2 linked regions of the Canis lupus familiaris genome follow. The protein of the gene in region 1 purifies or fractionates together with the protein of each later gene. This does not show direct contact. Links are inferred from orthologs where the notes say so. Each region holds a gene or a part of one and is shown on either strand. Other genes may lie near its edges.

Region 1 (3,812 bases):
ATTGTGCTTGGTTCTCAAATATAGAAAGTTCCAGAAAAGATGCAATTAGCATTTATTGACATGCTATTATTATTTTTATTTTTTTATTTTTATTTTTTTTTTTCATTTATTTATGATAGTCACACAGAGAGAGAGAGAGAGGCAGAGACACAGGCAGAGGGAGAAGCAGGCTCCATGCACCGGGAGCCTGACGTGGGATTCGATCCCGGGTCTCCAGGATCACGCCCTGGGCCAAAGGCAGGCGTTAAACCGCTACACCACCCAGGGATCCCGACATGCTATTATTATTTACCAAGTAGTATGCTAGATACTTTAAGTAGTCATTTATTCCTTACAGTGCAAGTCTTGGAAGTAGTACTGTCTCCGTTTTACGTATTTAAAAAGTGAAGCGTAGAAAAGTTAAGGGACTTGACCACAGTGGCAGAATTAGAATTCTAACCAAGAATTTTCTAACTTCAAAACATATACTTTCTGCTTTTCCACGCTACCTTCCAATAACTATACCTGACATTGTGCATTTGTTCACAGATGTTCAGTAAGACTTGTGTGTCATGCACCGAGGATACAATCTCACATCTTTCAGATGTAAATCCTGCTCTCCTAGAGATAAGACACATATATGAGTAACTGTAATTCAGAGTAGACAGCTGTCTTGAGTAAAAGGCCCTGGTAAAGTGCCAGGGGACTTTAGAAGGAGGAGAGTTTATTTCAAACTGAAAAGTTCAGAGGCTAGACATGCTGGGAGGACTGCCCTCTGAGCTGGACTTTGACGCATCAGTGGGGCTTGCCTGTGTGAACCAAGAAATTTCTTTGAAGGAGAAAGAGCATGAGCAAATATAGAGATGGAAAGTACACTGTACATGATGGTGAGCTTCTTGAAGGAGCCCTGGAAAGTATACTTTAGAAAAACTCTTTGTATACTTATTTTCAGGAGACATATAATATGAAAATGTTTCTTTCTTTTTCTTTTTTTTTTTAAGCTTACAGTTGAGCATGAGTCTTCTTATGATCAGTGAGAACGTAAAATTGGCCCGTGAGTATGCACTACTGGGAAACTATGACTCTGCAATGGTATATTATCAGGGAGTTCTTGACCAGATGAACAAGTATCTGTATTCAGTCAAAGACACCTATCTCCAGCAGAAATGGCAACAGGTGAGAATTATGGCTGCTGTGTGTTTTAATGGTTTAAAGATTCAGAAGACTTAAAGAGATTGTTGGTACTTTTTGAAGTTACACATGAAGAGTATATGGTTTGTTACATGGATTTGTATATAATGTTACTTGAAATTTGATTTATTATATTAGTAATAGTTCATATTCACCATCATCAATATTGTGAGTTCTACTCAGTTACAGTTTTTGAAATCTAATAGATTAAAAAAAGTAATGGTTTTGACTTTTTTTTTAAGATTTTATTTATTCATGAGACAGAGAGACAGAGAGAGAAAGAGAGAGGTAGAGACACAGGCAGAGGGAGAAGCAGGCTCCATGCAGGGAGCCCGATGTGGGACTCGATCCCAGGACTCTGGGATCATGCCCTGAGCCGAAACCAGAGGCTTAACTGCTGCGCCACGCAGGCGTTCCTTGACGTTTTTTCTAATCCCATTTTTTACCTGGTATAATTAGGATTGACTTTATTAAGCCATTGTTGAAACTGCAGATGACACCTGAATCTCTCATGGCTATAATATATTCTCTGCAGAATATTCTAAAGAAGACTATATTTGAATTCCATTTGAGGAATGTTAGTCTCTGAGGACCAATAGGAATTTACAGATGGAAAGTGTAGAAGTTGTAAGTTCCTTTGAAGGTGGCATTTCTTTCTTTCTTTTTTTTTTTTAATAACTAAGCAGTTTATTTTTTTTAAGATTTTATTTTATTTATTCATAGAGACAGAGAGAGAGAGAGAGAGAGAGGCAGAGACACAGGCAGAGGGAGAAGCAGGCACCACACAGAGAGCCTGATGTGGGACTCAATCCCGGGTCTCCAGGATCACGCCCTGGGCTGCAGGCGGTGCTAAACCGCTGTGCCGCCGGGGCTGCCCTGAAGGTGGCATTTCTAACAAGGGTCAGCTACATCAAAGAGGAAGGAATTACTACAGGATTTAATAGTCTTTTTGAACGGGTCTTCTCAGTAGAATGTTATCCCTCAGATTCTTGTAAACTACTTTTTTGATAGTATTCCATTTTTGTACTTAATTTCTTTAAAATGGAGAAATATCCTACCTCTTTGAACTTAAAACTTTTTCCCTAAATCTGCTTCTGCATATCCCTTACATTACCATAAGAGGAAAATATTTTATTTCATAAAGAGTCTTAAGTTTGTCACTGAAAGACTTATGTTCATAGGCTGGAGATGTTTTTTTTTTTTTTCTAAGTAGACTTCACAGCCAGCATGGAGCCCAAGGTGGGGATTGAACTCACAACCCTGACATCAAGACCTGAGCTGAGATCAAGAGTTGGACACTTAACCAACTGAGCCACTCAGGTGCCCTTGTAGACTAGAGACTTTTATCTTAAAAGTCTAAGCTTTTTTTTTTTTTTTTTTAAGATTTTATTTATTTATTCATGAGAAACAGAGAGAGAGAGGCACAGACAAAGGCAGAAGAAGGCTCCATGCAAGAAGTCTGATGTGGAACTTGATCCCAGGTTTCCAGGATCACACCCTGGGCTGAAGGCGGCGCTAAACCGCTGAGCCACCTGAGCTGCCCTAGATTTTTTATTTGAGTAAGGGGCAGGGGAGAGAGGGACAGAGGGAGAGAGGATCTTAAGCAGACTCCCTGCTGAGCACAGAGTCTGTGCTCCCACAGAGTGGGGCTCTATCTCACAGCCCTGAGATCATGACCTGAGCCAAAATCAAAAGCCTGACGCTCAAGAACCTGACATTCAACTAAGCCACTTAGGTGCTCCTATTTATTTATTTTTAAGGAGAGAGAACACATATGAGCTGGGGGAGGGACTTTGGGAGAGGGGAAGCAAATTCCTTGCTGAGCACAGAGCCCAAAACAAGGCGCGATCCCACAGCCAATCCCACAATCATGTGATTGTGACCCGAGCCAAAATCAAAAGTAGGACACTTATAACCAACTGAGCCATCCAGGCGCCCTGGTTACAGATATTTAAAGAGCCATATTCTCCCTTTAAAACCAGGTTTGGCAGGAAATAAATGTGGAAGCTAAACATGTTAAAGATATCATGAAAACACTGGAGAGCTTTAAACTAGACAACACTCCACTGAAAGCTGCACAGCATGAGCTTCCAGCTTCTGAGGGGGAAGTCTGGTCCTTGCCTGTACCTGTTGAACGAAGGTAAGTGGAGACCTTTTAAGAAACAAATTAGCCCAGGAAACTAATAGCATTGGCTATATCTAGGGAAGCTGGGTAGCCAAGAGACAGGAACGGGAGAGGATTTTTTTTACTGAATGCCTTTTAGAACTCTTATGTTGTGTATCATGTAACTATGACCTGTATCGATAAATTAAACTTAGGAAATATGCCAAAAATGCTTTTGTGAATGAGCTTATAGTAACGGAGACAACATTATCTTATGGAAATAACTGGGAATTGAAATATCTGGCTCTCATTCTATCTTTGCCATGCTTCTGTAGCTTTGGAAAAAACCTATAACCTTTCTAGGCTTCAGATTTTTCTTAGGTAAAGTGAAGGAGTTACATCAAAACACTGGTTCTCAAACAGCTATCACAGAATACTGCTATTCATGAAAATTATTAAAATGAAAAATAATGTGGCTTTTTAATTCACAGGATAAAAAGGATAAAATGTTCTCTATTTTAGGTTTTTTTTGGCATTT
Region 2 (4,542 bases), on another chromosome or scaffold:
ACAGAGAGAGAGAGAGGCAGAGACACAGGCAGAGGGAGAAGCAGGCTCCATGCACCGGGAGGCCGACGTGGGATTCGATCCCGGGTCTCCAGGATTGTGCCCTGGGCCAAAGGCAGGCGCTAAACTGCTGCGCCACCCAGGGATCCCGCTTTACAATTTATTTAAGAAGCAGGACAATAGTTTGATCAAAAAAAATTTCATGGAAACCATTGATTGAATATATAACACCCTAACATGTATTCTCTTTGAGTTTTTACATTTTTTCACATAAATGTAATTATAGTATATTTACTTTCTATTAACTTGCTCATATTCACTAAACATTTATTCAATACATTATGTTCTAGGCAGTGGAATCCAAAATAATTGACATGTAGTTCCTAACTTAAAGGAATTTAGGGCATAGTGCAGCAAGAAGGGTAGATACGTGCTCAAGGGACGTCAACAAACACAAGTGCAATTTGGTAAGTGCTATTACATAGACTGTTCTGGGACAAAGAAGATTGCCCAATAGGGCCAAGACCCTTGTACAGTCTGACATCAGTCTCAAAGGTTCATTAGAGATAACAGATAAAGCCAGAAAAGTAGAAAGAAGCAGGAAAGCAATCCACAGGTCTGGTCTTCCTATGATCATATAAATACACATTTTAGAATGAACTGGAAGGGGAAAAGCCTTTTCCACCTTATTCAAACAGTCTGCCATGAACACAAAATATCTTTAAAAGGAGAAGACAAAATGGGGATGGAAATCTTGTGTCCCTAGATCACCATCATCTTCAAGGGTCCAAACTCTCTAATTGGCCCTTTTCAACCTCACCTCCCAACCAGACTCTCATAGCACTCTTCTTCCCTCACCCCAACCCTGACCATATCAGATAACTTGGAGTCAAAGGAATAAAAGTCTGAAAATACAGAACCATTTTCAAACCAATTTAAAAATAATATAAGGCTGGTGGAATGCAAATGGGTGCAAATGGATACTGCTAGAAGACATTTAAAATGAAAATTCCTTAAAAATTTGCAATCTTTGGGGATTCCTGGGTGGCTCGGCGGTTTAGACCTTGCCTTCGGCCCAGGGTGTGATCCTGGAGTCCTGGGATGGAGCCTGCTTCTCCCTCTGCCTGTGTCTCTGCCCCCTCTTTGTCTCTGTGGCTCTTGTGAAGAAATGAATAAAATCTTAAAAAAAAAAAACGTGCAATCTTTGATCCAGCAACTGCATTCTTAGGAATTTTAGTAAGAAAAGACATAGGGTTAATAAACACTGTTTGTTTATAAAAGGGGAAAAAAAAACGGGAAACAAGTATCCATAACAGGTTATATTATTATATAGGTATAGAACTCAATACAAAAATCCAATAGCTAGTGTGCTTTTTTTTTTTTTTTAAGATTTTATTTGAAAGAGAGTAAGAGCTAGAGAGCATGGGTGGGGGAGTGGGCAGAGGTAGAGGGAGAAGGGATAAGCTGTGTCCCCACTGAGCAGGGAGCCCGATGCAGGGCTCCAATCCAGGACCCCGGGATCATGATGGGAGCTGAAGGCGGATCCTAACCAAATGTGCCACCCAGGCGCTTCTTTAGAGTACTTTTTTAATCAAAAAAAAAAAAAAAAAAAAAGCATTCGTGGCAGGCACTCCTTTTACCCTCATAAGCCTTGCAAGTAGGTAATTTTTTTTAAAAAAAGATTTATTTATTCATGGGAGACACCGAGAGAGGCAGAGACACAGGCAGTAAGAGGAGAAGCAGGCTCCCTGCAGGGCGCACGATGCGGGCGGGCGGGCGGGCCTCATCCCGGGACCCCGGGGTCACGCCCCGAGCGGAAGGGAGGCGTTCGACCGCCGAGCCCCCCAGGCGTCCTAAAGCAGGTGGATTATCCAACTCCTACCTACGAAGAGGCTGAAGCCCTAAATATCTAACGTGTCCAGAGTCACACAAGTAAGTAAAGAGCCAGGATCCGAGGGAGGCCATCTGAATGTCAAGCCCATAAGCTGCCCACGTCCGCACTGCTCCCAGCTCTGGGGCAGCAAGGTCACAGAAGGATTCGCCTTGCGCGACGAGGGCACACAAGGCTGAGGACGGAGCTCAGCGGACACGCCGCCGACGAGGCCCGCCCGCCCCAGGGGATGTGGCCTCCTGAGGCGCTCCTGCCGGCCCTGACGCGAAGGGAAAGGAAGAGCAGCTAACCGAGGGGCTACAGTTCTACGGCACAAGTGTCCCTCGGGGTCTTTGTGATTCACAAGAAAAACGCATGCGTATCAGCAGCCTAACGTCCAGAAGGAGACGCCCAACCGTCCGAACGTTAACGCTTTACTAGAGGAAGAACCGCCTTAACTGGCCGCCGGCAAGGCCGCCAGTGGCCCGAGGCCCGAGGCCCGCGTCAGCCTACAGACATTCGTTTGAAAGCCTCCCTTGCCCTCAAGCCCCCAGCCCCCAGGTGTAGCGTCAGCCACCCCCGGGAACCCAAGGGGGCTGCAGCCCTTCCTGCCCCCAGGTCCCGTCCCGGGCTTTAATGAAAGCACCATTTTGCACCAAAGACGTCTCCAGACTTCCTCCTCGGTCGTGGGCTGCGGACCGGACCCCACCCCACCCCACCCCCCACCCCGATTCCAAAACTTCATCAGCAGGATTGATGTGACTTGAATAACACAGACCCAACTCCCGGGACCTGGCAGGCGCTCGTTCGCCTCGGGAAGCCAGTCAAGAACCCGCTCCCGGTCGGAGGACCCCACGCGGATCCGGGCGTGAAGCCGAGGCCTGCGCCTCGTGTTTCCGGGGCGCGCAGGAACTCGAGAAGGCGAGCTCGGCTTTCACCCCTAGCGCAGGGGCAGGGCGCACCGCAGCCCGCCTCCCGCTCGCTCGCTCGCGTGCACGTCGGGGCTCCCGGGATACACCCCCAGGGCCGCGCGACCTGGGGAGCCGCGGCCGGCCGTCCTCCGCGGCGGGGCCCCCCGCCCCCGCGGAGGCCCCGCCCACTTCCAGACCGGAAGTGACGTCTATGCTAAGCGCCGGAAGCGGGCCGCGGGGAGACCCAGACGTAGCGGCGTCCGGGGCCGGGGCCGGGGCCAGGGCCTGGACCCCGCCGGGGAGTGACGAGGTTCGCTGCTCCGGTAGGAGGCGGGTGCCATGACGGCCCAGGGGAGCCTGGTGGCCAACCGAGGCCGGCGTTTCAAGTGGGCCATTGAGCTGAGCGGGCCTGGAGGAGGCAGCAGGTGAGGAGCCGGGGCGGAGCTCGGTAACCCGAGCCTTCAACCAGAACGGTCGCCCGGGAACGGGACCTGACCCCAGGTCCAACCCTCCGAGAATGACGGGTGGCACAAAGACGGGCCCCGGGGAGCTTTCTAATCCTCCGAGGATCCTGATTTCACTCACTCGATAGGCAGACGTCTGACGAACCCACGAGACGGCGTGTTCTAATCTGGGCGGGTGTATTTTAGGGTCTTTGGAAAATTCCATGGTTAGTGGAGCGGGAACGTGGAATGTGAAGGGTGGGAGGCTGCAGCCTTAGTTTCTTGGTTTGGTTCCTTAGGAGCCGAAGTGACCGGGGCGGTGGCCAGGGAGACTCGCTGTACCCCGTCGGTTATTTGGACAAGCAAGTGCCGGATACCAGCGTGCAAGAGGCGGACCGCATTCTGGTGGAGAAGGTACAGAGGTACAGCTGTCACAGCCGTGCTCAGCCCGGCTCTGCCCTGCACGGCCCCCTCCCGTCCCAGGCAGCATATGAATAGCCAACTGTAGGAGGCTTATCCCTAATATGGGTAGATAAACTGCTTGAGATTAACTTACAGTAGTACAAGCGCTTAATAATTGGAAAAATAAGATGTTTGAACGTATAACTAGGTTGAAAATTATTAGTGCCAGCGCGTAAGAGTTACTCTAGTTCCCTTACAACCACACAGCCAGTGTGTCAGGATATTCTTTTTGCTTTATGTTGAGACAGATGAAAAATTTGCTGTTTTTCACTGCTTCCTGTTTTAACTGTCATTCTGAGTGATTTCATCTCTTACCACTTTCCCGTTTGTTCTTCATTCCACTCTAGTCAGAATGGCCTCCTTGCTGCTCCTTGAAAATAGCGGGCAGGCTTCCATCTCTCTCGGACTGCTTGTACATGTTCTTTCCCTCTTCCTGGAACACTCTTCCCCCAGATACCTTTAGGACTTGCTCTGGCGTCTCCTTTAGATCGCTCGCATGTTACCTTCACAGTGAAACCCCATGGCACTACCTATCCTGCTTATCCTTTCCTCGTATTAGTTTATATGTTATACTTACTACCATGTAAGTGGTAAGGTCCATGAGAGTAGGTTTTGTCTCCCAAGCACCTAGAACAGGTGGCACTCTTTCCTCTTATCCTTAATATTGTTCAGTACTAAATGATCTTCATTTCATTAAATGCAGTGATTTTTTAGATGAAAATGACAGCTTTTCAGTGCTTTTCTCGATAAGTATATCATTTTTCATCTTGGTACATCAAATTGTAATATGAATTTTGATCTTTAAATTCCCAGATAAATGATCTTTTATGTAAGTGACACACCAGGGAACTGCTTAACT

The links.
Region 2: the proteins of KATNA1 (region 1) and KATNBL1 purify together in Homo sapiens (affinity purification with mass spectrometry; 3 studies listed by BioGRID and IntAct, counting the BioPlex papers as one, with this or other methods). This does not show direct contact. The link is inferred for Canis lupus familiaris from reciprocal best matches to the Homo sapiens genes KATNA1 and KATNBL1.

What each region holds. Positions count from the first base shown.
Region 1 is NC_049222.1:40,671,163-40,674,974, reverse strand, and holds part of KATNA1 (katanin p60 ATPase-containing subunit A1), read left to right. Parts: intron 1-980; 5' UTR 981-993; coding exon 994-1,155; intron 1,156-3,152; coding exon 3,153-3,310; intron 3,311-3,812. UniProt on the Homo sapiens protein: Catalytic subunit of a complex which severs microtubules in an ATP-dependent manner. Microtubule severing may promote rapid reorganization of cellular microtubule arrays and the release of microtubules from the centrosome following nucleation.
Region 2 is NC_049251.1:1,134,672-1,139,213, reverse strand, and holds the start of KATNBL1 (KATNB1-like protein 1), read right to left. Parts: upstream 2,930-4,542; 5' UTR 2,646-2,929; intron 1-2,645. Other genes in the region: EMC4 (ER membrane protein complex subunit 4), read left to right, coding at 3,118-3,203, 3,521-3,635.